Elephas maximus indicus: one gene and its partners. The protein of the gene in region 1 interacts with the protein of each later gene in a pairwise test. Links are inferred from orthologs where the notes say so. Each region holds a gene or a part of one and is shown in the gene's direction. Other genes may lie near its edges.

Evidence for each region.
Region 2: the proteins of KRT40 (region 1) and BYSL interact in binary tests that used the Homo sapiens proteins (3 or more experiments, as listed by UniProt). The two-hybrid records come from large-scale screens. The link is inferred for Elephas maximus indicus from reciprocal best matches to the Homo sapiens genes KRT40 and BYSL.
Region 3: the proteins of KRT40 (region 1) and cytochrome c interact in binary tests that used the Homo sapiens proteins (3 or more experiments, as listed by UniProt). The two-hybrid records come from large-scale screens. The link is inferred for Elephas maximus indicus from reciprocal best matches to the Homo sapiens genes KRT40 and CYCS.
Region 4: the proteins of KRT40 (region 1) and ATPAF2 interact in binary tests that used the Homo sapiens proteins (3 or more experiments, as listed by UniProt). The two-hybrid records come from large-scale screens. The link is inferred for Elephas maximus indicus from reciprocal best matches to the Homo sapiens genes KRT40 and ATPAF2.

The regions. Positions count from the first base shown.
Region 1 is NC_064837.1:48,073,159-48,080,712, reverse strand, and holds the start of KRT40 (keratin, type I cytoskeletal 40), read left to right. Parts: upstream 1-4,540; coding exon 4,541-4,987; intron 4,988-5,658; coding exon 5,659-5,741; intron 5,742-6,023; coding exon 6,024-6,180; intron 6,181-6,979; coding exon 6,980-7,141; intron 7,142-7,225; coding exon 7,226-7,351; intron 7,352-7,554. UniProt on the Homo sapiens protein: May play a role in late hair differentiation.
Region 2 is NC_064819.1:106,347,081-106,354,950, forward strand, and holds the start of BYSL (bystin), read left to right. Parts: upstream 1-4,869; 5' UTR 4,870-5,234; coding exon 5,235-5,502; intron 5,503-7,870. Other genes in the region: MED20 (mediator of RNA polymerase II transcription subunit 20), read right to left, coding at 737-891, 4,698-4,711. UniProt on the Homo sapiens protein: Required for processing of 20S pre-rRNA precursor and biogenesis of 40S ribosomal subunits. May be required for trophinin-dependent regulation of cell adhesion during implantation of human embryos.
Region 3 is NC_064826.1:86,187,010-86,194,223, reverse strand, and holds cytochrome c, read left to right. Parts: upstream 1-4,299; 5' UTR 4,300-4,433; intron 4,434-5,365; 5' UTR 5,366-5,373; coding exon 5,374-5,542; intron 5,543-5,655; coding exon 5,656-5,804; 3' UTR 5,805-6,712; downstream 6,713-7,214. UniProt on the Homo sapiens protein: Electron carrier protein. The oxidized form of the cytochrome c heme group can accept an electron from the heme group of the cytochrome c1 subunit of cytochrome reductase.
Region 4 is NC_064820.1:214,307,219-214,314,790, forward strand, and holds the start of ATPAF2 (ATP synthase mitochondrial F1 complex assembly factor 2), read left to right. Parts: upstream 1-4,675; 5' UTR 4,676-4,761; coding exon 4,762-4,894; intron 4,895-7,572. Other genes in the region: GID4 (glucose-induced degradation protein 4 homolog), read right to left, coding at 3,879-4,242, 4,392-4,675. UniProt on the Homo sapiens protein: Plays a role in the assembly of the F1 component of the mitochondrial ATP synthase (ATPase).

The DNA.
Region 1 (7,554 bases):
AGGACTGGGTTGCATGTATATAGGACGAAATTCCATGAGGCCTAGCAGAGAGTGGCTGCTGGGGCATTAAGAGCTGAATGGAAATATCAGCAGCCATTCAGTATTAATAAGGAGCCCTGGTGGTGCAATGGTTAAGTGCTCAGCTGATAACCAAAAGGTAGGTGCTTCGAACCCACCCAGTGGCTCCACAGGAGAAATCTACTCCGCTAAAGATTACCAAAAAACCCAAAACAACACTCGTTGCCATAGAGCGATTCCAATTCATAGCGACCTTAAAGGACAGAGAAGAGCTGCTCCATAGGATTTCCAAGGAGTGACTGGTGGATTCAAGCTGCTGACTTTTTGGCTGGCAGCTGAGCTCTTAACGACTGTGCCACCAGGGCTCCCCCTAAACATTACAGCCTAGAAAATCCTATGGGCAGTTCTACTCTGCCACAGGAGTCACTATGAGTCAAAATCAACTTGATGGCAACCAACAATAACAAAAATATTCAGTACTAATAGACTTTAAAGTTTCAATCCAGACAGAATGGAAAAAGCTCTCTGAGCACCTCACACATTCAACTGATGTTCCAGAAAGGACACATCAAAAGAGTAAGGATCACAACCTTGATAAACACTAAAATGCATAAAAAATTGCAATGTAATGTGACAGTTGCCTTAGGTGGGGTAAGTACAAATTGCTATAAAAAGAGCCTCCATCTCAGTGTGAAGCAGTTGGATGCCATTTCAGCTGAGTCTTGACTTGTGAGTTCATCCAGGTAAGAGATAGTAGAAGAGGATTAGACCAAGGAAACAGGACCTGCAAAGCCTGGAGGTATGGTCGGAGTCTGGTGTTTGTAAAAGAGAGTAACAGGAAAGAGCCTAAAAAGGCAAACTGGCACCAGATTGAGGAAGGTCATATATCAAACTTTGGACCTCCTAAGTGGAAAGTGATAAAAATAAAAAAATGATTATCACAGCAGAAGGTGTTATATTCTGGGGTAAGAGTATGTTACAAAAGGAAATTTTCTATTTATTTTTCTCTATTCCCAATGTTCACATGGAGTCCCTGGATGGCACAAATGGTTAAATGCTCAACTACTAACTGAAAGGTTGGCAGTTCAAACCCATCCAGAGGTACCCCAGGAGAAAGGTCTGGTGATCTGCTTCCAACTGTTCACAGCCTTGAAAACACTATGGAGTGTAGTTCTACTTCTGCAACACATGGAGTTGCCATGAGTTGGAACCAACTCAACAACAACTGGTTTGGTATGGTTTAATGTTCCTCACTGTGAGGATGATAAGCTATAAAACATATGCTGGGCAATTTCCATATTCTAAGATGAAAACTATAGATACAGATCATCATATAACACAGCACTAATTAATCAAGGCCAAAATAAATAGTCTTTCCCTGTGTGTATATATGATGTATATATATATATATATATAATAACTAGGAATCAATATTTTACAAATAGAAATCAGATTGAGACAGAAGGAAATATGTCTTATTTTACCTGCAGTTACTTTAAAATAATGACATTGCTGCATTTTAATTAAGTGGACCCTATGGTGAACAATCAAGACATGGACTTTCTTCAAAGATCTCTTCTCTTGACTCATTAGGTTAATGATTATGTTAGGTGCCATCGAGTCGGTTCTGACTCATAGCGATCCTATGTACAATAGAACGAAACATTGCCTGGTCCTGCACTATCCTCACAATTGTTGCTATGTTCCATGGATTGAATTGTATCCCCCCAAAATATGTGTCAACTTGGCTAGGCTGTGATTTCCAGTATTGTATGACTGTCCACGATTTTGTCATCTGATGTGATTTTTCCTATGTGTTGTAAATCCTACCTCTATGATGTTAATGAGTCAGGATTACAGGCAGTTATGTTAATGAGGCAGGACTCACTCTACAAGACAAGGTTGTTTCTTAAATCAATCTCTTTTGAGATATAAAAGAGAGAATTGAGCAGAGAGACACGGGGACCTCATACCACCAGGAAAGTAATGCCAGGAGCAGAGCGTGTCTTTTGGACCTGAGGTTCCTGTGCTGAGAAGCTCCTAGAGCAGGGAAAGATTGATGACAAGGACCTTCCCCCAGAGCCAACAGAGAGAGAAAGCCTTCCCCTAGAGCTGGTGCCCTGAATTCAAACTTCTAGCCTCCTAGACTGTGAGAGAATAAATTTCTCTTTGTTAACGTCATTCACTTGTGGTATTTCTGTTATAGCAGCACTAGATAATATGCCAAACCAAAAACCAAAACCATTGCAGTCAAGTTGATTCCAACTCATAGATAACTAATATAGCAGCACTAAATAACTAAGACACTATGAGCCCATCATTGCAGCCACTGTGTCAATCCATCTTGTTAAGAGTCTTCCTCTTTTTTGCTGACCCTCTACCTTACCAAGCATGATGTCCTTCTCCAGGGAGTAGTCCCTCCTGATAATATGTCCAAAGTACATGAGACAAAGTCTCACCATCCTTGCGTCCAAGGAGCACTCTGGCTGTACTTCTTCCAAGACAGATTTGTTCATTCTTCTGGCAGTCCAAGGTATATTCAATATTCTCCACCAACACTATAGGTTAGTAAGGGACTGTAATATTTCCTTGGATGTTTGTAATTTTTAATTTGCTTTTTAATCCTTGAACTCAACGGCTGTTGCGTAACAGCACCAATATGTCGTGAATCACTCCAAGAATTTGAAAAATAAGTTTTGATTTTAGAATCACTAAAATCAAGTCCAACTCTGTCCAGTGAATAAAAAATCCTAAAAGACTACTTTAATCCATCCTATAGAAGGTCCCCTGGTTTTGTTTTTTCCATTATCAGTTAACTAGGAAGTAGTGCTCAGAATTAGAAATAATTAAGTTTGTTCTGGATCATGAAATTTTTAACTTTGTCAGACTAATGCTTTTTCCTATAAGGATCTCAAAGATTCTGGAGGAAATTTTCCCTGTGTCACCTTTGAAAATGAAATAGATAACCACAATCACAGTGGAATAGATTATGGATCATAGTGGAGGTAAGATTGAAAAGAGAGTCCAAATCACGGAACACTTCAGGTACAAACTATCAAATGGGAAACCAATTTGCTTTGTAAGCTTTCTCCTAATGCACAATAAGAAATCTAAAAAATAAAATAAAAATAAAGTTTCATTTAAAAATAAAACAAAACAGGATCCAGGAAAGTTTTATCTCAAGTCTCATCCCCTTAGGGATTCCACCAGGGATTTCATCCAGCAGAATTGTCAGCCTGGAACCCACACCGTAGAATTTTTATCCTCCAAGTCCCAGTATTTTTAATTTTCATAAAATTGAAGTCTTCAGAAAAATTAATAAGATAAAGCAGACTCCATAATCTCACCGAAAGAAAAGTCTTCTATAGCTTTCTTGCCGTATTCTAAGGATCTCTCAAGAGCCTAAAAAATTATAACTTAGAATTTATATTTTATTCTTATTAGAAATACCTGAGTAACCTACAGCTATTCTCAAATACCTTACTTTGCATGTCATCAGGAGGGGCGAATCTCTGGAGAAGGACATCATATTTGATAAAGTGAAGGGCCGGGGAAGGCGTGGGAAATCCTCAGTGAGATGAACTGACACAAAGATGGCCACATCAATGGACTCAAATGTACTAAAGATCATAAAGATGGTGCAGGACCTGGCAATGTTTCCTTCTGTTGTATATTGGGTTGCCATGAGTCAGAGCCAACTCAACAGCAGCTCACAACAACAACATTCCCAAATAAGAAACATTATCTCTGATCCAAACATGCGACACACGAGAAGTGGAGAAGGCAAGTTTCAGCAAACCAAAGATGACAACTCCTGATAACCAATTTATATTTCGACCTAAAGGGCAAAAAAAGGTATGTAATGTGATCTTTCCATTTTCACCTAGAGAGAGAAGGTTCACGCATATACACATGTGCACCCATACACGTCAAATCAAGTACACACCTCACTCCTCTACCCTGTAAACACAAATGTGAAGTCAAGATCACAAATACCATTGCAAAGATTGCTAATCACACTGAATATTTTTATGGTGGTGGCAAAAATAAACGACATTTAATGATATGCAATATTCTTTTTAAAGGAGACACAATATTAAATGCACAGGATCAAAATCAGTGCAAATACTCTTATCCTTACCTGTAATCAGTTATATCTGTAATTATTGAATGGCCAAATGTTCTCTTTCTTCCAATATTCTGTCAAAAGGGCAATGTCCCCCGTGAAGATTTTCTGAAACAAGTATTTTATTATACTCACACACAGAAATCGTGTACATCCCGATTTAGAAACCTGGAGTTATCCCTCTTTTATGAGGCATAAAACTCCTCCTCTGTAAATAAACAAGACTAATGAAATGTTCTTAAGAAAACTGCCACCAACGATGTTAATGAAAACATCCAGAGCAGTCTGCAAATACCCACTTGGGGGGACTATATAAAAGTCTCAGAAAGGAAGAAGACTTTTGGAGTCAGGTAACTTGGGTTTTACAGCTAGTCTCTGTTCTTCACTTCCAGTAGGATGCCTTCTGAGTGTTCTCCCACTCGCTGCTCTTCTGAGTCTGGTGCCAGGGCTTCTGATCACCCATCTGTTTCAACGCGTTCTATGAAAACGACTTGTCTCCCTAACACCTGTGCTACAACCAGATGCCAGACCCCCACCTTCCCATCCACGTCTCGCTTGTCAACTGGTTGCCTCACACCATGCTACTTTGCTGGGAGTTGTAATATTCCATGCTTGGTGGGGAACTGTCCTTGTTGTGAGGATGGGGTGTTCAACAGCAACGAGAAGGAGACAATGCAGTTCCTGAATGACAGACTCACCACCTATCTGGAGAAGGTGCGTGGCCTGGAAGAGGAGAATGCAGCACTGGAATGCAGGATACGAGAACAATGTGAACAGGAAATCCCACTGGTGTGTCCTGATTATCAGTGTTACTTTGACACCATTGAAGATCTCCAACAAAAGGTCTGGCAACCCATTGCCCTAATACCTTTGTTTTCCCAACCTGTGATTTGCTTTATCTTTATACTAGAAGAGGACATTTTAGGCATGAAAGGAAACCAAGGGAGGAGGGGATTCCAAGAGCTAATGTGTTGTGGTAGAATGAGCACTGGACTAAGAGTCAGGAAACACCAGCACTAGCTCCAGTGCTGCCACGAATTAGTTGAGTGATGATAATAAAGTCGCTTATGTATAGGCTTTACCTTTATCATTTATAAAACGAGGGAAAACTGTGTTATATCTGAAATTACTTCTCATATAACACTGTATATTTGAACATAGAAAATGAAATGCCATCTTTTTAATTATATAATTTCACGTAGTAACCATTTTCTTTTACTGATGAATTTCTATTATCATGGACGGGGATCTATACAGTCATAATACAAACTATGGACAGAAAAATGTAACTGTGTTCATGTCTTATAGTCGTAAAAAACGAGCCATTTTACTTCTCTGTTTTGTTGTTAAATTGGCAATTTTTCTTCATGAGTGACACTGTTAATTTGAAAAGCAGGATGAAAGCTATTTTATGTTTTCTTATAAATATTTTAAAGGATAGTTACATCGCAATTAAATGAATAGATACCTAGTATTCTTTCAAAGAGCCATTTATTACATAACTTACTTTCCAGATTTTGTGCACGAAGGCAGAGAATTCTAGACTTGCTGTACAGCTTGACAACTGCAAACTGGCTGCTGATGACTTTAGGTCAAAGTAAGTTTAATTTGAATTTGAAAATGATTTATGGTTCTCCTTCTCTCCTCTCTCTGGTTCTTTTTCTCTCATAAACACTCTCACTGGGCACAAATGGTCTCTCTGTGTAATATTATTAAGCTAAAAATTCTCGCAAAACTCTATTTTATAATTATTTGGGATATAAAAGAAATTATGATATGTGGCTCCCTTGAGTCCATGTATCATTCGTCAGTACAGCCCCAGTACTTTGCACAGGACCCAGCAGAGTAAGCATTGGCTATATCTCTTTTGCTGCGAAAGGTACGAGAGTGAACTGTCCCTTCGCCAGCTGGTAGAGACTGACATCAGTGGCCTGCACAAGATCCTGGATGAGCTGACCCTGTGCAGATCTGACCTGGAGGCCCATGTGGAGTCCCTGAAGGATGATCTCTTTTGCCTTAAGAAAAGCCATGAGGAGGTGAGGACAGTGGCAAAATCCCTAAAGGACCCTAATGGTGACAGGGTTAAACTGACAGATGTTATGTTTAAGTGTATAAATTGAATCTGGATTGATGTTGCTTAAGCTGGAACAGAATTCCTCGAGGCACACTTGTTATTCGGCCTGATCACTTCAGTGTATCTCTGAATGAGACAACTCTGGCCAGCGCCCTATGAAGGAATCAAACTCTTCACTTGCCATTGTTTTTGCAGAGGAGTTGAGTAATTCCACAAATGGTTTCCCTTGGAGGCTTTATGACACCCCTAGCTTCAGCCCAAGAGGTATGAAATCGGACTGATAAACGCAGACTATGAAGTCCATTTCGAAAAGGGGATACCCATGCAATATTTCTCCATGATTCCAAATGTTCTGTACTTAAAATCATAAAACATGAAGTGTATGATAATGCCATGTTGCGGAGGTTGGAAAATGAAAAGTTGAATGATGTAACAAAGAAGGTTTTCTCTTTGAACATGTTTGATGATAGTAGTAGTTAACATTTATTGAGAGCTTACTATGTACCAGGACTTGTTTAAGTTATATGTATGTTAATTCTTATATACCTCTGGGAAAGGAACTATTATTATATCCACTTCTCAGATGAAAAACTGAGGCATTTATAAGTAGCGCTAAGACATTCAAACTCAAACCACCTGAATCTAAATTCCACACTTCCAGCCACTGTTCCAAAAAATAGAAATAGGATGCCATTGGGGTAGAATTTTGTCAAATTGATTTTTCCCCCACCACTTTGTGACATTCCTATTTCCACTTTCAGGAGGTCAACCTGCTTCTTGGACAGCTTGGTGACCGACTCAGTGTGGAGCTAGACACTGCCCCCACGACCGACTTCAACAGGGTCCTGGATGAGATGCGTTGTCAGTATGAAACAGTGCTCGCCAACAACCGCAGAGACGTGGAAGCATGGTTCGCTGTTCAGGTCAGCACCTGGAGCCAACACAATAGCAGGCTTCCAGATCCCTGCCTCATTCATTTGCTTTCTCTAAAAGTGCCTATGTTTCAGACAGAGGAGCTGAATCAGCAGCAGCTGTCCAGTGCAGAGCAGCTGCAAGGCTGCCAGACGGAGATCTTAGAACTGAAACGCACAGCCAACGCTCTGGAGATTGAGCTCCAAGCCCAGCAAAACTTGGTGTGTAAGGGAAAGACAACTGTTTTGTCACTGATGAAGCAGACCTTGAGATACTCTCCCTTCTTCCATAACCCAAAGAAGAGACAGTTCATGTGACAAAGGGCCCGGTTTCCAATTTGCAGGGCTTACATTTCCTTGCCTTTCCCAAGCATTGCTAAAGCAGGAATGACAGGTCAGCAGCTTGTACTGCCCCAGCAGGTACC
Region 2 (7,870 bases), on another chromosome or scaffold:
TAAGGGGAAAGAGGCAAATGACAGGCAAGGAACAGATGGGTTAGAAGACTTACCTAATGCTGTACACTTAGGAAGTGGCAGAGCCAGGACTCAGGAGCCTGTCTCCACGATCCCTGCTCTTAACCTCGGTGTTATGGAACTGTCCAAGGTCATATGGTAAGTTACAGCAGAGCCAAGACCAAGAAAATCCAGGATCCCTAACTCATGTTCAAAGATATTCTTTCCCTCCCTACCATTCACACCCCCATCTCATCAGGCAATGCATTTAAAACAAAAGTTGGTCAAGGTTATGCTGAAGAGGTAGCCAAGGCCACTGGCTAGGTGTTAGAAAGTACTTAAAAAATCATACATGAGATTCCTGAGCCTGAAAGGAGTCTTCCTTAAACTTTAGAGTACATAGGGATCCTCTGGGATGCTTCTTAAAATGTAGATTACGAGACTTGCAACACCAGTCAGTCAATCAGTAAGTGGGGCCAGGAATCTGCACCTTTAACAAGTAACCCAGGGGATTCTGATGCACTTGGTCACCAAACCTACCCTTTGAGAAACACTGCTTTAAAACAGTTGAAACGAAAAACAGCCAAAAATAGCCCCAGTCTAAGACATGAAGGACCAAGAATTAAGTTCTTGTTCAGGAATACCACTCTTAGCAGAAGAGCAGACAGACTTCAAAGAACACAAACGTCCAGCAGCTCCAAGTCTGGTTCCAACCATCCTACAGACCCGTCTCACTGACCTTGGCTGCCAAGGGTAGAGGCAGCCGTGTGGTAGGTCTCACAGTCCACACAAAATGTTCCTTGCTTCTCTGCCCCAAGCATCTCCAATTTTCGGGTAAGGAGCTCCACAGTCTGCTGGACACTCTTGCCCTCGGCCACAGGCATCTGGGACACGCTGGAAGAGAGAGAACCAAAATCATCAGTATCCAGAGACACACAGGCCTCACTGAGCCACTCACTCACAAAATCATAGCTCATCAGGCCCAGGAGTTACCTGAGAGACCACTCACCCTGACCCCCTCATCCCTGAAAGTTTCTCTAGAAACCAAAGCACAGGCCTCAGAACTCTTACACCAGTGCAGCGAACTTCTTATCACTCTAGCATTTCCCAAGTGTAGTACGTGTGCCACCATTCAAGAGAAGACTTTAGGTGGCACACAGACTGAGCATTCCGTAACACTGACTCCTGTCATGAGAAAGAGATTCCCTGTGCATTTCTTTCAGTTCTGACTACGTCAAGGATAAAGTATGTTTGGACTTCGTACACTTTTACCAATTCTCTAACACTCTGAACTTGGGCTATAAGTACAGTAGCCACTAGCTACATATGGCATATTTAAATTTCAATTAATAAGACAAAATTTAAAATTCACTCCCTCAGTTAAAGAACTACACACATCGCAAGGGCTCAATAGCCACATGTAGCTGGGGGCTAGTGTATTAGACACTGCTGATACAATGGGCACTACTGATATAGAACATTTCCATCACTGCAGAAAGGTCAACAGCCCAAGGAACAAAGAGAAAGCAACCTCAAGTTTATCATCTTTGGAGATGAGAGGCAACAATATCTATGAGAATTTAATACAATGCAACAAAAAAAAATGTTATTTCCAAGGTGTCCTTCTATGGTGAGTGAAACTGCTTCCTCTTTAGGATGATAGGTGACAATTACCAACCATCTACTTACTATCTGCCAGGCAGTATCCTAAGGTCTTTAGATGGATTAACTCTTCAAATCCTTGAACAGCTGTATATGAGGCACTATTACTTTTCTCTTTGTTATAAATGAGGAAATTGTTGTTGGCTGCTGTAACTTGCCGAAGGTCACATATCTAACATGTGGTGTAGCCAAGATTCAAACCAGGCAACCTGGCTCCCACATCTATGCTCTTAACCACAATAGTAATCTACCTCTCTAAGAATGTAAGTTGATGGTTAAACTAAGTTTAAGAAAAAAAACAGATTTAAAAGAAAACATTAATAAACACTACAGGTGGTACTTAGCTATGGCAAAAACCAAAAAGACAATCAAGACACTTCACTAAAGAAGACATTCTGGTAGCTAACAGATACATGAGGAAATGTTCACGATCAATAGCCATTACAGAAAAGCAAACCAAAACTACAATGAGATTTCACCTCACTCCAACAAGGCTGGTATTAATCCAAAAAACACAAAATAATAAATGTTGGAGAGGCTGTGGAGAGACTGGAATGCTTACACACTGCTGGTGGGGATGTCAAATGGTACAACCACTTTGGAAATCGATTTGGCGCTTCCTTAAAAAGCTAGAAGTAGAACTACCATACGACCCAGCAATCCCACTCCTTGGAATATATCCTAGAGAAATAAGAGTCTTTACACGAACAGATATATACAGGCCCATGTTTACTGCAGCACTGTTTACAATAGGAAAAAGATGGAAGCAACCAAGGTACCCATCAACAGACGAATGGATAAATAAATCATGGTATATTCGCACAATGGAATACTATGCATCGATAAAGAACAGTGAGGAATCTGTGAAATATTTCATAACATGGAGGAACCTGGAAGGCATTATGCTGAGTGAAATTAGTCAGCTGCAAAAGGACAAATATTGTATAAGGTCACTATTATAAGAACTTGAGAAATAGTTTAAACTGAGAAGAAAACATTCTTTTGTGGTTATGAGGGGGGAGGAAGGGAGGGTGGGAGAGGAGTATTCATTAATTAGATGGTAGATAAGAACTACGTTAGGTGAAAGGAAAGACAACACACAATACAGGGGACGTCAGCACAACGGGACTAAACCAAAAGCAAAGAAGTTCCCTGAATAAACTGAATGCTTCAAAGACCAGTGTAGCAGGGGCATGGGTTTGGGGACCATGGTTTCAGGGGACATCTAAGTCAACTGGCATAATAAAATCTATTAAGAAAATATTCTGCATCGCACTTTGAAGAGTGGCGTCTGGGGTCTTAAACGTTAGCAAGTGGCCATCCCAGATGCATCAATGAGTCTCAACCTACCTGGATCAAAGGAGAATGAAGAACACCAAGGGCACAAGGTGATTACGAGCCCAAGAGACAGAAAGGGCCACATGAACCAGACACTACATCATCCTGAGTCCAGAAGAACTAGATGGTGCCCGGCTACAACCCATGACTGCCCTGACAGGAACACAACAGAGAAACCCTGAGGGAGCAGGAGAGCAGTGGGATGCAGACCCCCAATTCTCATAAGGCCAGACTTAATGGTCTGACTGAGACTAGAAGGACCCCAGAGGTCATGGCCCCCAGACCTTCTGTTGGCCCAGGATAGAAACCATTCCCGAAGCCAACTCTTCAGACATGGATTGGACTGGACAATGGGTTGGAAAATGGTGAGGAGTGAGTTTCTGGGATCAGGTGGACACCTGAGACTATGTTGGCATCTCCTGCCCGGAGGGAAGATGAGAGGGTGGAGGGGGTTAGAAGCTGGCGAAATGGACATGGAAAGAGAGAGTGGAGGGAGAGAGTGGGCTGTCTCATTAGGGGGAGAGTAATTGGGAGTGTGTAGCAAGGTGTATATGGGTTTTTGTGTGAGAGACTGACTTGATTTGTAAACTTTCACTTAAAGCACAATAAAAATTATTTAAAAAAAAAAAAAGAAAGAAAATGCCTGAACCAAAGCTATGAGAAACAAAAGTCCTAGGATTCTTAAAAAAAAAAAAAAAAGGTAAGGGTCCCAACAGACAAAGTGTCAGGGGTTTCCAGGGTCCCAAGCCTCCATGTTGCAAACTTTTCATTCCCATCCCTCTTACACTACAGGACTCAGAAGAGAATCATATATCAACTGTGGGAAACATGGGCATAATCACTTGCAAGCTTTCAAGAGCCTGGGCTACCAGGAGAAAAAAATGCTCCTACACACTTTTATATGAGAAGCCTACAGCCACTGACTTCAGATATTCTGGGCTCCAGCCCCTCTGACTGGAAAAATGTTTTAATGTCTTTGAATGGAATGACATTAAAACGTCCTGAAACTAAGCCTTTTGGAAATAATGCCTCTGAGAGCATTAGGCCCACCTTTCCCTCTTCCAACTGAGACTTACAACATGTTAGAAATAAAAGGCCGATAGAAACTACACCAACCATGGAAGCCAACATAGTAGGAAACACGTCCTGAAGAGGTAAAGCAACTAGAAGCCCATCTTCTAATTCTCAGTGGCTTTGTTTTTACTCTTGACCCGAGGTATTAAAACGGCGAAAATGAAACTAAACACAAACTGGTCTCACTGCACTTTGTGGCTGTAGGGAGGATCAGGCAAAAACCTAAAAGAAACACTGTCTTCTCCTTGCCTACCCTCCACTCCCTCCAGCGTTGCCTGCTGATAGGTGCCAGGCCGGAGATGCTACTTCCGAAGCTGAAGTCCTATTACTAGCAGTAATATGGCCTCACAGGCAGAAAGAAAAAAGGGAGATACAAACATTAATGGGTTTCTGGGATAAAACCTTTTACCTGCCGCCTTCCAGGGGCTCATTTTCGAGGAAACAGGCCCGGAGAACCCGCAGCCCTCACAGTGTGCCTCTCATTCCCACAACACGGAGACATCTTGCTAAGCTCCCTGGGGGACGGCGGACCCTGGTAGTTCCTCCCAGGTCTGTTCGAGGCTCCGAAGGTCCTTCACGACCCCCAGTCTCGCCCCACAAAATCCCGAGCGGTCCTGCAGTCTTACCAAGTCACTCCCATGGTGTCCGGCCAAGAGGGTTGCAGCTTCAAACAGTTGAAACTCAGCACTCTCGATGAAGTGAAACCCACTAAGGAAAGCTTCGAGCGAGGGAAACGCCCCGGAAGTTACGTAAAAACAGTGCGCCTAGTCGACGCGCCACGAGGAAAGAGACCTGCCTGGGCAACCCCTGGGTGACGCCTCCAGCAACGTCATCCGCTCAGTTCCCGCCCCTAGGTTTGCAGCTTCGGAAACTGAGATTTGGCTGGGCATCCAGGGCCTGGGTCCATGAAGCTACGAAAGCATGGCTCGGACTGCCACCCCATAGAGGAACCAGCAATGAAGGTATTCGAGTATCTAGCTCCAAGGCTCACGAGCTCTCTTAGGAGGGGGGGAGAAGCTGATGGCACTTCTGGCCTCCGAACGCTGGGGGTCGCGCTGTTCTTTGCGCTGCCTCTTGGGAACTGAGAGTTCACTGCGCAAGCGCGCTGGGCTTCTCTCCTCGGTACCCACGTGTAAATCTTCCCGGTAACTTTTTTGAGGAAAATGCCAAAATTTAAGGCGGCACGCGGGGCTGGGGATCGGGAAAAACACGCGCCCCTGGCGGAGCAGATCCTGACTGCGGACGCAGTGCGGGCGGGGGCCCGGGAAAAACGGAGGGGCCGCAGGACCAGAGAAGAAGAGGAAGAATATGTGGGCCCCCGGCTGACCCGACGGATTTTGCAACAAGCGCGGCAGCAGCAGGAGGAGCTGGAGACTGAACATGGGACTGGAGACAGGCCCAAGGCGCCGAGGGAGCGCACCACGCGGCTGGGTGAGCGGTGGCGGGCGGGTGGGCGAGCGGGGGTGGGGGGCAGAGTGTGCGACGAACACAGCTTTGTTGAGGATGGACGACTTAGAGGTGACTTGCAAAGGAATAACTGGGAATTAAAGAAGGGAGTCCATATTACACTCTTACAAAGGTATTGGAGTAGGAGCCGAGTCGTGGAGCGAATTTAGAGTAGTCAGAGCCCCACCACGCCCACTCCTAGTTTTAAGCTCTTACTCCCCGGCATCCCCAAAGTTAGACCAGGTTCTCCTAAGCAATGATCTTTTTGTTCCATAAATATGTATGGGGTGCTTACTACGTGCCTGGCACTGTGCTAGGAGTTTGGATTCAGAAATGAACAAGGTAGACACTGTCTCACTTCAGGACCCAACAGTCTAGAAAAGAGACAATTAAATAGACAACTAGAATAATACATTCCATAATAAAGAAACTACAGTTTCTCCAGTAAGGAATAGCATAGTCTTGGGTGTCAGGAAGGGCTTTCCAAATTAACCTATTAGCTGAGACTGGTAAAATGACTGAGGGTTAGCTATGCCTAAGACATCACACTTCTGTTTTACTGCTACTTCACCTCTCAGTCTTTTTTGCTGGCTCCTCTGTTATTCCCAACCTCTAATTATTGAAGGGCTCAGTCCTTGGACTTCTGTTAAACCCACATACTTCTCTGGTGATGTCATCAAGCTTCATGGTTTGAACACCATCTGTTTGCTGACTACTCCCAATCTTACATTCCAGCCCAGATCTCTTCAGTGGAACCCAGATTCAATATTATATCCTACTTGGCATCTCCAACTGGAGGCCTGATAAACCTGTTGCTGTGGAGTAGATTCCGACTCACAGCGACCCTGTAAGACAGAGCAGAACTGCCCCATAGCGTTTCCAAGGAGCAGCTGATGGATTCGAACTCCGACTTTTTGGTTATCAGCCTAGTTCTTGACCACTGTGCTACCAGGGCTACAGGAGATCTAATAAACATCTCAAATTTAACATGTTAAAACTGAAATCCTGACCTTCCTCCCCAAACCTGCGCCTCCCACTGTTTTCCTCATCTCAGTTTGTAGCACGATAACTTCCCATTGTTCAAGACAGAAACCTTGGACCCTTCTCTGTCTCCACACCCAGTCTGTCGAGAAATCATGTTTGACTCTACCTTCAAAATGTATTTAGATCAGACCACTTCTTACCACCTTGGAACACCACCGTACCACTCTGTTCCAAGCCGCCAAGATCTCGCAATTGAATTATTGTAGGAGCCTCCTCATTAGTATTTCTTACCCCTCCCCCACAGTCCGTTCTCAACTCAACAGCTAGAGGATTGCAATAGCCTTCAAAGCCCTATCTGTTCAGCCCCCTCACCCCCATTACCGTTCTGGCTTCTTATACTATTTTCCCCTTTGCCTTGTCCACTTCATCATACCTATATAGGCTTCATTGTTGCTTAAACATGGCAGTTCAGGGCCTTTGCCCTGGTTATTCTCTCTGCCTGGGCTGTTCTGTCCCCATACGCCTGTAGGCTCACCTCCTCAGTTACTCACCTTTTCAGAGAGGCCTACCCTGACCACTCTAATTAAAATTGCAACACCCCATCCCTTCTCTCCTCTGCTCCACTGTACTCCAACTTGTATACTATACTCTTAACTTTATTTTCATAGCCCTTGTCATCTTTTAACCCAGTATGTTTTACTTGTTATGTTTGTTCCTTGCCTGTCTCCTCCAATTAGAATGTAAGCTGTACAAGGACAAAAAATTGTGTTACTCTTGTTCAGCGATCTATTCCTAGCACCCTGAACTGTGCCTTACATACAGTAAGCACTCAGGGTTTGCTGAATGAATGGATTAATGAATGATGGCGAGGTAGGTAGGAGCCAAGTCTCCAAAAGACCTAGAGGCCATGCCTGGGATTTAAAACTATCCTAAAGGGAATGGGAAACTACTGAAGAGTATGTTGAGTGCAGGACCAATCAAATGTGTATTTCTAGAAGGTTATTGTGGCTGCAGAGTGGAGAATGAGTTGGAGGGAAGTAAGGTTGAAAGTATGGAGATCATTTAGAAGATTCTTGAATTAACCCAGGCAAGAGATGATGCTGGTCGAGGTTTAGATAGGGCTGTGAGGGATTTGAGAGATATTCTACAAAGTGGAATAGGACCTGGTAATTGTCTGGGTGTTGGGGGTGAGGGTGCAGGATGAGGCGGGACTGCCTCCCAGGCTGTGGTATGGCATTGGGTGAATGGTGGTGCCGTTTGCTGAAATGTGGAAAAGAGTGAGTGGTGCAGACTCAGGAGGGAAAGAGAATGAGTTCATTGATGACATGTGATGTTTGAAGTGCCCATGCGTCATCTAAGAACGGCTATA
Region 3 (7,214 bases), on another chromosome or scaffold:
ATAATGTAAATAAGGTGCATGGCCACCTTGTGGCCTAGAGTCCATGCAAATAAGGTGTATGGAACCCTAACATGGGGATTGGGCAGTTTTGCCATCCCATTGGGCCTAAAAGAGAGCCAATTCCACAGCAGAGGAGGACTTGACTGCCACCAAAAAAGAAGAGACTGGAGCAGAGCGTGTCTTTTGGACTTGGGTCCTGCACTGAGACCCTCCTAGACCCAGGAGACAGACAGAATAAGCTCTAACACCAGAGATGGCAAGATGGCAAGAATCAGGGGCAGAGAAGCAGCAGCAGCAGAGCCATGAGACCAGCAGGAGACAATGCAGTGAGCTTCCCAGCTCCCTGAGCGAGAGAGCTGAGCTCCTTTGGGCAGGACGCTTCCTGGTGCAGTGGGGTGCCTCTTGGCACTCACCAGCAGAGCTAAAAGGACTTTGTAACACTTGCCTGAGCAGGGTAGAGGCCAGGCCAGTCCAAAAGGCCCAAGGGGTCATAAGGTCAAGGACCAGACAGAGGCCAATATGTGGGCACAGCTGAGAAAGAGGCTGTCCTGATCAAAGAACTGTATCCTGAATTGTAACCTGTTAGTACCCTAATAAACCTCATGTAACTTTTAGTATGGTCTGTAAGTTTTGTGTGGCCATTCCAATGAAATACTGAACCCAGCAAAGAAGTAGAGAGTGCTGTGGGAAGGACGGCTGGTGTCAGAATTGCTAAAAAGGCTGGAGGACCACCCCCAACCCCACCCCACCCTTGCCTCACAGGAATCAGCCTTGGGTCATTGATGCTAATGATTCTCTCCCCCTTGTGAAGTTAGTGGAGGTCAGATGCCCCCACCATGGCATTTTTACAGATATTACTGGTATTGTTTGATAATTTCCACATTCTGGGAGGATCACCTTTCTTTGGAATGGACACAAATATGGATTTCTTCCAGTTGGATGGCCTGGTAGCTGTCTTTCAAATTTCTTGACAAAGACAAATGAGCATTTCCAGCGTTGCATCTGTTTGTTGAAACTTCTCAATTGGTAGTCCATCAATTCCTGAAGCCTTGTTTTTCACCACTGCATTCAGTGCACCTTGGAATTCTTCTTTCAATACCATCAATTCTTGATCATATGCTACCTCCTGAAATGGGTGAACATTGATCCATTCTTTTTGGCACAGTGACTCTGTGTTTTCCTTCCATCTTCTTTTGATGCTTCCTGTGTTGTTCAATATTTTGCTTAGAATCCTTCAATAGTTCAACTAAAAGCTTTAATTTTCTCTTCAGTCCTTTCAGCTTGAGAAGTGCTAAGCATGTTCTTCCCTTTTGGTTTTCTAACTCCAGGTCTTTGCACATTTCATTATAATACTTTATTTTGTCTTACCAAGCCACCCACGGACTGCCAAAAGAACAAACAAATCTGTCTTGGAAGTACAAACAGAATGTTCCTTAGAAGCAAGGATGGCAATACTGTGCCTTACATGCTTAGGACATGCTGTCAAGGGGGATCAGTCCCTGGAGAAGGACATCATGCTTGGTAAAGTACAGGGTCAGCGGAAAAGAGGAAGACCCTCAACAAGGTGGACTGACACAGTGGCTGCAACAATGGGCTCGAGTATAACAACAATTGTGAGGACGGTGTAGGACCAGGCAGTGTTTCATCCTGTTGTGCATAGGGTTGCTGTGAGTCAGAACTAACTCGACGGCACCTAACAACAACTACAACAATTGAGCCATCCCTTGAAATCTTCTGTTCAGCTCTTTTACTTCATTGTTTCTTCCTTTTGCTTTAGTCACTGGATGTTCAAGTGCAACTTTCAGAGTCTCCTCTGACATCCATTTTGTTTTTTTCTGTTTTTTTTTAATGACCTTTTGCTTTCTTCATGTGTGATGTCCTTGATGTCATTTCACAACTCATCGGGTCTTCAGTTATTAGTGTTCAATGCATCAAATCTATTCTTGAAATGGTCTCTATCTTGGTCCCCTCCAAAAGCCACAGGGTCTTGAATTAAGTGTTTTGATTTCTGCTCGGATTTATAGGAAAACTGTGGCAGCAGTGTGAGAGACTACAGAGAGGGAATTGAAGTCAGGAGACAGAAAACAACAGAAATAATCCAGTCAAACAGAAGGATGAGTAGTCTGAGCAGAAATCATAAAACCAGTGGTTTGGAAGTGATCTAAGGTAATCTAGGTCAACCTTCTACTATCTACTGCTTAAGTTGGGAGTGGGAGAAAAGATCTTAGAATGTAAGCTCCACTAGAGAAGAAGTCCTCACTGATTTACTCCAGGAACCTAGACAAGTGCCTACCACATAATATGCTATTCAATAAACACTTGATGGGACGAATGTGGCAGTGCTATATAGAGTATGCAGTGCCAACAGTTTGCGCTCAACTACTAACCAAAAGGTTGGTGGTCTGAATCCAGCCAGCGACACCATGGAAGAAAGGTCTAGTGATCTACTTCTGTAAGATCACTGTTCTGTGCCATTGAGTTGATCCTATATGACAGAGTAGAACTGCCCCATAGGGTTTCCTAGGCTATAATCTTTATGGAAGCAGAATACCAGGCCTTTTCTCCTGTGGAGCCACTGGTGGGTTCGAATCACTGATATTTCAGTTAGTAGCCAAGCACTTAACCATTGCAAGACCAGGATTCACAACCATTGAAAGCCCTATGCAATTCTACTCTGAAACACATGGGGTTGTCATGAGTCAGAATTGACCCCATGGTAAAAGAGTTTTTTAAATATAGGAAAGGAGAAAATTTTATCAGAACTTCGCAGCTGAATTTGAGGAGAAAGGGAGGAGTTGAGAAGAAACTCACAAGTGACAGAACTGAGCACGTTGGGAAGGGGAGCCAGTTTTGGAGGAAAAGTATGACTGGGAGCTATGGAACTGTGGAGTTTCCAAGTGGTGTAAATGGTTACTTTGGTTGGATGCTAACTAAATGGTTGGAAGCTCGAGTCCACCCAGACACGCCTTAAAAGAAAGGCCTGGATTTTACTTTTTTAATTCGAAAAACAGCCATAGAAAACCTTATGCACAGTTGTACTCTGGATATATATGACGTCACCATGAATGGGATTCCACTGACAGCAGCAGTACTGGTGATCAAACTTGCATTTCTAATATAGCCCCAACCTCATTAGCTTACTTTAACATGACCTTTACCTAGAAAGGATGGAAATTTCCAAAAATCCTCTAAAATACAAAACCAAATCCGATGCCCTGGAGTCAATTCTGACTCATAGCGACACTTCAGGATGAAGTTTAACTGCTACTGGGTAAGAGCTACGGCTGCTAATCAAAAGACTGGCATTTGGAATACAGCAGGCGTGACTTGGCAACCATGTGGGTTAGTTCTACTCTGTCCTATGGGGTCGCTATGAGTCAGAATCAACTCCACTGCAATGGGTTATAGGGTTTTCAAGGCTGTCAATCTTTAGGAAAGCAGACTGTCACATCTTCCTCCCGCAGAGCTGCTGGTGAGGTCAAACTACCAATCTTTTGGTTGGTCAGCAGCCGAGCACTTTAACCACTGTGCCACCAGAGCTCTTCAAGAATCCTCTAATGATCTAAAATTAATGTTTCTTCCTAGATGCTGCCCGCACCCTCCACGGAACGCACACAAATTGGAGGAAAGGAAGTTGGTAGAAAAGCCTGCAGGTGAGGGTTCAGGGCTATAGTCTTGTCCCTGCCGCAATTACAGCATCCTCCCTAGTCTTGGGGCGACCATCAAAGGAAGATTTGGAAGAAGATAACTTAAAGTAATAGCGTGGAGGTGGAAAAAAACAGACACAGGATCATGTCCAAATCGTGTAACTTCTGGCTCCAGACCCGCCGTCTGAGGTGCTGCTGGCGCCAGCTGTGGAACTATGACCCAGTCTGGGTAACGGTCGCCAGCTTAAAGGATGGCAGCCAGGAGACGTCTAAGTAAGTCAAAGTTGGGGCGGCTCCCTCTGAGAAGGCAAAACACTGTCCTCAAAGCGTATTGCGTCACGTGCCGAACACCCGTTTCCTTAGCCCCAGATCCACCTCTGCGACTCAGCTCCACGAGCCGCACCAATGTACGCATACGCACAAAAGCCACGTGCGCCTTTTCAGCCCCTTCCGGCACAACCTTTACGTCGTACGTTCAATGGCCTGTCGTAAAGGCCAGGCAAGTGAGGCCTCGAGACATAGGGCACTCACGCGGCACAGCCTACCCTGCTAGCCGGCAGGCGCGCGCAAGTCCCTGAGGCAAGCCGGGTAGACTGGAGCCAATCAGGCGCGCTGACGTCACCCCGGAGCTGCTGGCCGTGCCGCACGCCGGGACGTGGGAGGGCGTAGCGGGTTTGGTTGCACCAACACCGGTTCATAGTCCCGGACAGGCGTGTCCTTGGAGTTAGAGAGCGGGACGTCCGGCTTTTGAGCGGTGACCTTCGAGTTGCGCGCGAAGAGATAGTGGTAAGCACGGGGCCCCGGAAGGCTCAGCGGGTAGGAGGCTGAGCCGTGAGGGGCACACACCTACGTGGCGGGCGCGCGGGCGGCTAGAGGTCCGCGTCCGGGACTGCCGGGTGGAGCCCGTGTGGGGCAGGCAGGACCTGGAGTGACGACCCGGGGCTGTGGTCAGGCAGAACCCAGTGGGCCAGGCTGGATGGCAGCGGAACCCCATCAAGGTAGAAACAGGGATTCGGCCAAAGCCTTGAAGGCCCGAAGGCGGCTTGAATGCGGATCCGAAGAAGACGCAGGCCGTCGCGTTTTCGGTGCCGAGGGACCTTGAAAATAGGCAAGACTTGCTCCCCGGTGAGGAGGAGTAGGGAGACAGCGGCACTTCTCGTCTTCCTTCAAAGAAAATAAAAGCTGCTTTTCCTTTCGTAAGGGATCATTTTTTCAGATCAGTAGTGGCTGCCCCCGTTAACCTGCTGAGGCATCGCAGTAAGGCGGTTTTCATCTTAGTTTCCTTGAAAGCGGCCTGTATGGGTGACCTCGTGATGGCTCCCGGGGATCCCAGAGCTGGGAGGGTGAGCATGTCCCTGGGGGGAACCTCGCAGAGCCCTCACCTGCCCCTAATTCAGAATTGTGATACTTCTGTGACCTTGACTTGCTATCTTGAAACTGGTGCTTGAAATGGGTTTCATTTTGCTTACTTGGGCTTTAATCTTAAATCCCTTACACACATACAGAAGTGTGTGTGTTTGAGTCTTTTTTTTCTAAACAGTGTTTTGATATTAAAGAGCCTGTTGGGAGTGTACTAAGTAAAACAAGATTCAACCTGGTATTTAACATCATAGAGTAGCAATGGATTCATAATTAAGTGACTGGAGTGGTCATTGGTTTCCACTGTATTTGTTTCTTGGGGGAAGAATTACTAACTTGGAGCTTTCATTCACTTTTAGAATTCAAAATGGGTGATGTCGAGAAGGGCAAGAAGATTTTTGTTCAGAAATGTTCCCAGTGCCACACAGTGGAAAAGGGAGGCAAGCACAAGACTGGGCCAAATCTGCACGGCTTGTTTGGGCGGAAGACTGGTCAAGCCCCTGGATTCTCTTACACGGATGCCAATAAGAACAAAGGTAAGAGGGGTATGGTTGTTAATAACCAAAAGTACAATTGCATGACTTTAGCTTACAGTAAACCCTTTATCAAGAATGTGAAATATTTACTCAGTGAATCTCTCCTTGCATAGGTATCACCTGGGGAGAGGACACACTGATGGAGTATTTGGAGAATCCCAAGAAGTACATCCCTGGAACAAAAATGATCTTTGCTGGCATTAAGAAGAAGGCAGAAAGGGCAGACTTGATAGCTTATCTCAAGCAAGCTACTAATGAGTAATAGTTGGCCACTGCCTTATTTATTACAATAGTAATGTCTCTTGACTTTTTTTACATGTACCGTATTTAAAGTGATCTCATACACCAGAATTCAGATCATGAATGGCTGATAGAATGTTTTTGTTGGGCATTCCTGGAGTAAATAAGATTGGCTGTGGTTAAATAAATACGATCTAACTTTTTAAATTTTGATAGTAATTTCAGTTCAGCAAGTGGTATTCCTTTTCCCTTTTAAAGATGTGTTTGCACTTGAGGCTAAATTGGATTAATAGTGGTCGATTTTTCACAAAGATGGTAAATGCCATCTCACAACCTATAAGAGATTAATTTTATATTTAGATTTATATAATTGGTGACATGGATATATTTAAATAGTGGGGAAACTTCTTCACTGTCTAATGGAACAGAGCAAGACTGTATTTCAGTTTGTAGTCATCAGCCTATTTAAACACAAGGGTTGGAGATAAGTTAGTTATGGCCACTTTATTGTTTTGCTCATAACTATGTCAGTCTAATTAAAATTCCCTGTATCTAAAGTGTTGCCTTTTAATTAAGAAAAGGCATTGCAGTGTGGTTTGTTTATGATATCAAAAAAGAATATTTAAAAAAAAAAAGTAAAGACTAACACTTCTCACATACTGTAGATGATCTAGAAGGTCAGATCCTTTTAAAAGTCAGCATGATGAGATATAGTAGCAAGTTGGATTTTAAATTCTTTACCATCTAACACTAAGTTGCAATTCAGGATTGTCTTTAAGCAGCTATTCAAAAACACATAAAACTGTTGAACCACTGTATACGTGTGATTGGTTATGGTGCTTTTATCAACTTGTTAGAAGGATTAAAGTAGAGGCAATATATTATAGGCACAAGTTTGTAAATTGGTCATCAGGTTTAATGTAATTAAAAAATAACATTATAATTTTTTGAATGTGCTTGATTTAATGACTCATGTCAAAATCATAATGGTTAAAAAGTGTAATAGCTCTGAAGACCCACAAAGCAACATCAATAATTCAGTCTTAGAGTTAGCTTGGCCAGAATAAGAACTACAGCATTTACACAAGATGTGGGTAGAAGAGTGTGCCCTGGTCAAAGTTTTGTGATAACGTAACAGTGTATAATTACGTACTAAATTATTTTACACACAGTTTTTTTTATACATATTGAGAGTAGCCCCTGGAAATTTTATAGAGAAGGTGAACTAAACTAAGCTGTAAAGAATGGTGAGAATTTCTCAGTGAGGGTAACAAATCTGTGCTGGTGGAAGAGTATTTATCTTTGTGGGATAGTAAGGAGACTGGGAAGAGAAACTGGTCAGTTATTTCAAAAATGATGGAAATTATTAGATAGGCGTTAAAGGTCTGAGTAATTTGTAACCAGTGAGCCTTATTTTCAGTCAAAGGGAAGA
Region 4 (7,572 bases), on another chromosome or scaffold:
CAAGGCACACGACAGGTCAGCATCTCAATGAGAAAGATAACAAGGCCCATGCTTAGCAAGAAGGTCTCTTGGCACAGCTGTGTCTAGCAGCTGATCTTTTTAATGTCCCTGTCAGAGTGACTGGGCTTCATTTATGCTGAGCTTCTTGGTTGGTGAGGAAGAACAAAGTAGTCACAATAAAGACAAAATGATCCAGTCAGGACCTCACAAAGGTTTGAGGAATGCCTTAAAACGGAATCCCAAAAAAGAAAGTGCTCCAGTGAGCACAAAAAAGATGATCATTCCACATTAAACAGACCCAAACCTGTTGCCATGGAGTCAATCTCGACTCATAGCGACCCTATAGGACAGAGCACAACTACCCCATACAGTTTCCAAGGAGTGCCTGGTGGATTCGAACTGCCAACCTTTTGGTTAGCAGCCGAACTCTTAACCATTATGCCACCAGGGTTAGGGAAATGCAAATCAAAACCACAAAGAGATACTACTTCACAGCCACTAAAAAGCCCAATGCCATCGAGTCCATTCTGACTCAGTGACGCTACAGGAGAGAAGAACTGCCCCACAGGGTTTGCAAGGAGTGGCTGGTAGATTTGGACTGCTGACCTTTCAGTTGGCAGCTGAGCTCTTTAACCACCCGCTAGTGTGGCTAATACAAACAAGACAAATAATAAGCATTGGCAAGAATGTAGAGAAATTGGAACCCTCATCCATTGCTGATGGGAATGTAAAATGGTGCAGTCAGTTTGGATTGTCAGTTTGGCAGTTCCTCAAAAAGTGAAACACTGGGTTACCATCTGACCCAGAAACTCCAGTCCCAGGTACCTACTCAGGAGAACTGAAAACACGCATTCACACAAAACTTGCATGTGAACATTCACAGCAGCACAATTCACAATAGCTCAAATGGAAACAACGCAGGTGTCAATTAACTGATGAATGAATGAACACGTGGTACATAATACAATGGAATATTACTCAGCCATTAAAAGAAATGAAGTTCTGATACATGCTGTATCGTGGACGAACTGTGAAGACATTGTGCTGAGTGAAAGAAGCCAGTCACAAAGACCACAAACAGTATGATTCTATTTACATGAAATGTCCAGAATAGGCAAATCTATAGGGGCAGAAAGTAGATTAGTGGTTGCCTAGGGCTGGGGAATAAGGGTGGGGGGAGGTGGTGACAGCTAAGGGGCATGGATTTTTTGCAGGGGGTGGGGGAAGGTAATGAAAATGTTCTAAAATTAGATTGTGGTGGTGGTTGGAAACCCTGGTGGCGCAGTGGTTGAATGCTATGGCTGCTAACCAAAAGGTCGACTATTCAAATCCACCAGGTGCTCCTTGGAAACTCTATGGGGCAGTTCTACTCTGTCCTAGAGGGCCACTAAGAGTCAGAATCAACTCGACAGCAACAGGTTTGGGGTGGTAGTTACAAAATTCAATGAACATACTAAAAACTATTGAAGTGTACACATTAAATGGGTGAAACCATATGGTATATGAATGATATCCTGATAAAACTGTTTAAAAACAAAGTAGCTGAGTTATGAAAGGCAGGAGAAGTATTCTGAGAAGCTGAGTCCAAGAAACTAGTCCTGGCTGAAAAACCAGAAGATGGGGCAATTTACATGCCACTGACTAGTCCCCATGACAAACAAGCAGCTCACTAATCCAGATGCAGGGCAGCATTCCTTGACATGATGACAGCCCCCCCACCAGGCATCCTACTCAAGTAGCTGCCAGCCCTGGGAGGGATGTCTTCTCTGTGCTGCCCTGAAACCTGTCAGCAGAGCACAAGTCTCCCCCAAACATCAGATTCTAAAGCCCACTGACTCACTCAGCCTTGTGGGTTCACAAAGAAACTTGGCACCTGACAGGAGTTCAGAAACAACACACTAATGGCAGAAGTAACCAAAGCAGATTTCGTTTTGACACTTAAGTTACCCCCTAAAACATCAGAAACCATTAACTTTAAAAATGGGCACAAATTCAATATGATTCCAAACATGACCCACACCAAGGATCTCATTTCCAGAATTTTATGGTTACCAAAAAAAAAAAAAAAAAAGCTTGTACCTTCACACTAAATTCTCACATTTTAAGCATAAGAGGAATTGCCTCATGAGAAATATAATTTTGAGGCTGAAAGATGTCAACCACACTAGTTTTTCAATTATAATAAATATCACAGCTCACAGCAGGGTTTTAGGTTCACAGACCAAAGACATAATTAATGTGAGAATCCTGTTTTCCCGATCAAAAAGAAAAAATTTATTCCCACAGAACAATAAGAAAAAAAGAAATTGATGAAGGGAGCTATAGTTAGCAGAAAGAAAAATGTACCCCCATTGTCTTTTGGGTGGCAGACCTACTTGTTCAGAAGAGATGCTCTTTAAGATTCAAAATAAAAAAGGTCAATGGGTGAACATGAAGAAAGGACACACTCTACATTCTATCCTCGCTCGTGAAAGCAGGAGTACATCATGCCAGGGCCTCAGAGTTCTCCGTAAGGGCTGTCTAAGGGACAGATACTTGGAGGGGCTTTTAGGAACAGCCTAGGAGGTGGGGTAACAGACTAAGGAAAAGGGGGCAAAGGGAGGGAGAAAGTGGGTCCAGAGGCAAAGGCAGACATAGAGGAGGAACAGTTTTGTGGGGAGGGAAGATGGAAAGACGTATTCACCACCACCATCACCATCCCTTGACTGGGAAAAAATGTCAAGTGTGCTACCATTTGCGTGTAAGGGGTGAGGTAGAGTGAAGGGCCAGGAGAGGTGAAGGTATACTTCCAAAGCTGGTCAGCACCTGGCAGCAGGTACTCAGAGATCCAGGTCAAATGGGGGGAGGAGGATGAACGTGGAAAGGAAATAATCCGTGTGAGAAACAGAACTGGGTGAGTTAGATTTGCCAGTACGCAGGTATCAGAGACTGTAGGAGGAAGCCCTGTGCCTGTGTGGGTAAATATTAAGAACACAGAAAGAGGTTCCCCTGGAGCAAGGAATGAGGAAGATTCAGGTATGGGGTGGGAAGGAGGTCTGAGTACAGGGCCAGGAAGGCGGAGCAGATTGGAAGTGGCCAAAGAATGGGGGTAAAGGGTATGAGAGGCCTGGGACAGGAGGCCTGGAGGTGGAGGCAGCTGTGAAGAGCTGGGTGCTTGAAGCAAGAGACTGCAGCAGTAGGTAAGCAGAGGGTGGGGTACAAGAGGCAACAGACTATAAGGAGCCACAGCACGCAGCCAGGGTGTGAGGGTCTGGTCTTGAGGGGGGCCAGGGTCTGAGCAATCAGTTGTGGGGTTGGGGGCTCTCAGGCTCAGGGTCTAATAAGAGGAAGGCTTAAGAGTCAGATTGAGTTCACCCAAGGAGGAAATCAGAGCAGGAGGAGAACCCCGGGGTCGGAGGTCTGATCTTGGAGGATTCCTGGGACTGAGGAAAGGGGGACATGTCTCAGGTCTGGGAGAAACTGTCACGGGCCCAGCCATGGGAGGGGGCGTCCCGATTCGGATGAATCCAATAAGGAGTTCTGAGAGGGATTGGTGGGAGCTGATCTAGGGGTGACAAGACAGGTCACGGGTAGGAAGTAACCTGGTCCAAGTAGTGGGGGGCTTCCGGATCCCAGAGGGTTAGGTCACAGTCACGGGGTATCTGGTCAAGGGGCTCCATGTCTGAGGGAGTGGGTCCCAGTCTTAGGGGGCAGGTCAGGGTTAGGGCTCGCAGAGTTTGAGACACCAGCTGGGCAGGTCCCGGCTGTGAAGCGCCGGGCGCAAGAGGCCCCGGCGGCCAGGGCCTGATCTGCGGCCGCAAGCTCGAGGACCGCGGGCGGGCTCGGGCCGTGAGCGCCGCGAGGAGGTCCTTGGGCCGCAGTCGCCGGCCGGCGCTCACCTGCAGCACCACCTCCACGTCGTACGAGTTCCCCTTGCTCTTCTGGTGGCCACGGAACTTGGAGCCGCTGTATAGCAGGCTGGTGGCCACGCCGGGCTGCTGCGTGTTGATGGGCGGCGGTGGGATGAGGGAGGCCGCGGAGGCGGCCGAGGCACCGGTCGGCGGGGGACACTCGGTGCGGACCGGCATCGCGGGGTCCCCCGGAGCCAGGGCTGGGGGAGGGGAGAGGAACCGCCGCCGCCGCGCGGGAGCCGAAGAGGGGGAGGGGAGGGGGGCCGGGCGCGCACGCGCGGGTGGCCTCTGGGGGCACCACCCGCCCGCCACCTGCGGACCAGAGCTCCGGCCGCCACCGGGACCCCGGGACCTGCGAGCAGGGCCTCCCAGCGCTGCGCCGGGTACCCCCACTCGCCCTCGCGCGCGCGCGCGCGCGCGCACGCACACACACGCACACACACACACACGCACACGCGCGCTCATACAACCACACACACACTCACACACACACATACACACACAGTGACCCTTCCGATTGGCCCCGGCTCGCGGGGCGCCGAGCTCAGGCTCACGCGGCGCGCCCGCCCATTGGTAGGCGGAGAAAACACGTGGCGGGGTGCGCGATCGGCCCTCTGGGATTTGTAGTCTTCTTCTCGAGGCGCAGCGCGGAGGGGCGGGGCGACGTGCATTTGTGATGCTGATTGCGCGCGGTTGCGACAGCCTGCCAGTGGTGTCACGAAGAAGATGGCGGCGCCCAGGGCAACTGAGGGCTCTGGGAGTCGGTGAGAGAAGTTTCCGAACATCCCGCGCGCGTGTCGTGGGTTCCCTGCGCTCAGTGTGTGCTGCACTCAGGCTTCGCTCTGCGCGTCCTCGGAGACCCTCGGGCGCAATGTGGAGGAGCTGCCTCCAGCTGCGGGACTGGGGCCGCCACCTCCTGAAACGGCCCCTGGGTGGCCCCATCGACCCCTTGGTGCCGGGGCCATCCCCTGAGCTCCGGGCCCGGGCCTACGCCCCCCCAGCAGGTGAGGCCAGGGCGCATCCTATTTGGGCCAGGTTCCGAGCTCGGTTAGGGTGGGCTGAGGGCTCAGACCCTGCCACAGGCCGGGAAAGTGCAGACAGACGGGCAGGGGACTCCGGGAGGATACGCAGCGCTGCAACGCACAAGGCAAGCATTGACATTTGGCCCGCGCCACTTTTCTCAAAGCTTGTAACGAAAACAGATGTTATCCCTGTTTTCAGATGAGAACATTTGGGTTCAGGATCAAGACTTCACCAGGGTCACTGAGCAGACTGTGTGAGAGGTTGTGGCCTGTAAAGGCCGGCTGTCTGACCCCTTTCTGTGTCACCAGCGCCTAGCACAGGACCTGACACAGGAAGGGCCTGGAACCCAGGCCTGCAGTCCTCCCTCCTGGCCACTTTGTCTGCACCACATTTCCTGGCCCTCACTCTAGGCGCCCTACCGGAACCCCTCCCACCCCCAGCCTTTTCTGGTAAACGGAAGTGGACACCAAGTGCCTCCTTTCTCCACCTACGATTCTGATAAAGCCTAGGAGAAGGTAGTGACTCCTGCATTGTGCAGGGGCTAAGTTTTACGGTAAGAGTGTGAGTGACTTGCTTCAGTAAATGAAGAGCAATAACATTCTCTTTCCGGGCTGTTGGTTTTCCTATGCTAGGGCAGAAGGTGCAGTGGTCTTCAAGACAGAGGGGTCCCCATCTTGGTGAGGGCAGGGGATTATAGTATTCTGATTAAATAGAGGTTTATAAAGGACGTGCAAAGAAACTGAGAACACAAAGAGGCACCTAGTCCCATCTTGGGGAGGGGTTGAGGGCCTAGAAAGGGCCTTGAGTGAAAGGACATTTAACCTGAGCCTTGATAGATGAGAAGGAGTTTGGTGAAGAGGAGGAAGAAGTGATGGGTAGCTAGAATATGTCCAGAGGTGACAGGGAGTGTGGCTTGAGGGACTATGCCATACACTGCCTGCTTTAGAAAGTCCAGAACATGGGCAGTTTAACATTGTGGCTGGAGTACAAATCTGGGTTCTTATGTCTGAGGCACTGTGTTATCTTGGGCAAGCTACTACTTCCTTTGAGCCTCATTTTCTTCTGCGAGCTGAAGGAATAAGCTGCTTCTGTGGTCCTTTCAGTTTTTAAGCTCCATAAATTTATACAAATAGGGAAGGGGGTTCGGTGCAGCGGGGAGCCGAGTTTTCAGCTATCAGGGCCCAGATGAAGGGCTTGGAGGTGGGCCATGATGAGCCAGTAAAGAGGAAGAAGGAAGGACATTCTAGGGAGGCACAGCATGAGCAAAGGAGACATGCTCAAGCATTCACCACGTTGGCAAAAGCAAAGGGTTGATTTAGGTTGTGGGTGCCTGCTTTCCATCACTGCGGCACTTGATCTATCCTCTCCTTGTCCTTTCTACTGCAGACTTACTAGTTAGGCTCTTAGCAGTACCTGGCAGATGGTAGGTGGTCAATCATGAAAGAATGAATGAGGTACAGTGGGAGGAACACCCATAAATCAGGTCTGTGCATGCTGTACAAAGACGTTATCAGTGGTGAGGTTCTATGGGCCTTCTTGGGTAAGGTTTCAATGGTTAAGGAGATTGAATCTGACCCTTTAGGAATGGTCATACTGTTGAAGGTTTTCAAAAGGGGTTTAGGTCCCTGCACTAGCTTGTCATAAGTCCATTGACTCTGGATGTGGGGGTTGCGGATGCTCTGGAGAGGCAGCAAACACCAAATGAAGTCAGGACTCACCATTCACAAGTTGTTAGTCACCTGGACAAGTCATGTAGCTTGTCAGAGCCCTTACTACCACAGAGGCATTACCTGCCTTGTCTTCCTCATAAGGGGGTTGGGTAGATTACCAGTGATTCTCTAGCCTGCCACCTGTTTTTATAAGTTTTGTAAATAAAGTTTTATTGGAATGAAGCAGTGCTCAGTCATTTACATATTGTCTCTGTCTGCTTTCACTACAACAGCAGAGCTGAGTAGTTTATTGTCTGGGTCTTAATAGAAAGAGGTTGCCAATCCCCGTTCCAGAGCAAGAGCAGTTTGGAAAATGGGGAGTCTGTTTGGTTCATTTAGCCCGTTGAAATTAGTTGCTATGGCAGACACAATTGGCCTGAAGTTTTGGGTTTTTTTTTTAGCAGTTTCATTGCAATTTAATTCACATACATACAGTTCACCCATTTAAAGTGTAAAATAGCTTTTAGTTTATTCACAGAGTTGTGCAGCCGTCATCACTACCACCTCCACCCCTAGGCAACCACTAATCTACTTCCTGTCCCTGTGAATTTGCCTGTTCTGACATTTCACGTGAATGGAATCATGACATGTGGGCTTTTGTGTCTGGCTTCTTTCATTTAGCATATTTTCAAGGACTATCCATGTCATAGTATGTATCAGTACTTCATTTTTTTTTATTGCTGAATAATATTCCATTGTATGGCTAGACCACATTTTATTATCCTCTTATCTGTTGATGGACATTTGGATTATTTACACCTGTTGGCTATTGTGAATGATGCTGTTCTAACAAAGTTTTTGTTTTTGTGTGGCCAGCTTTTAAAATTCAACACTTTTTACATACCTGTTTCTTTGCATCTACATAGTCTACAGATTGTCTCTTAAAAGGCACTGTGTATGTGTGTTTGCCACAGATGTCCTGTAAAGGGAATAATTCATACTCAGAACGG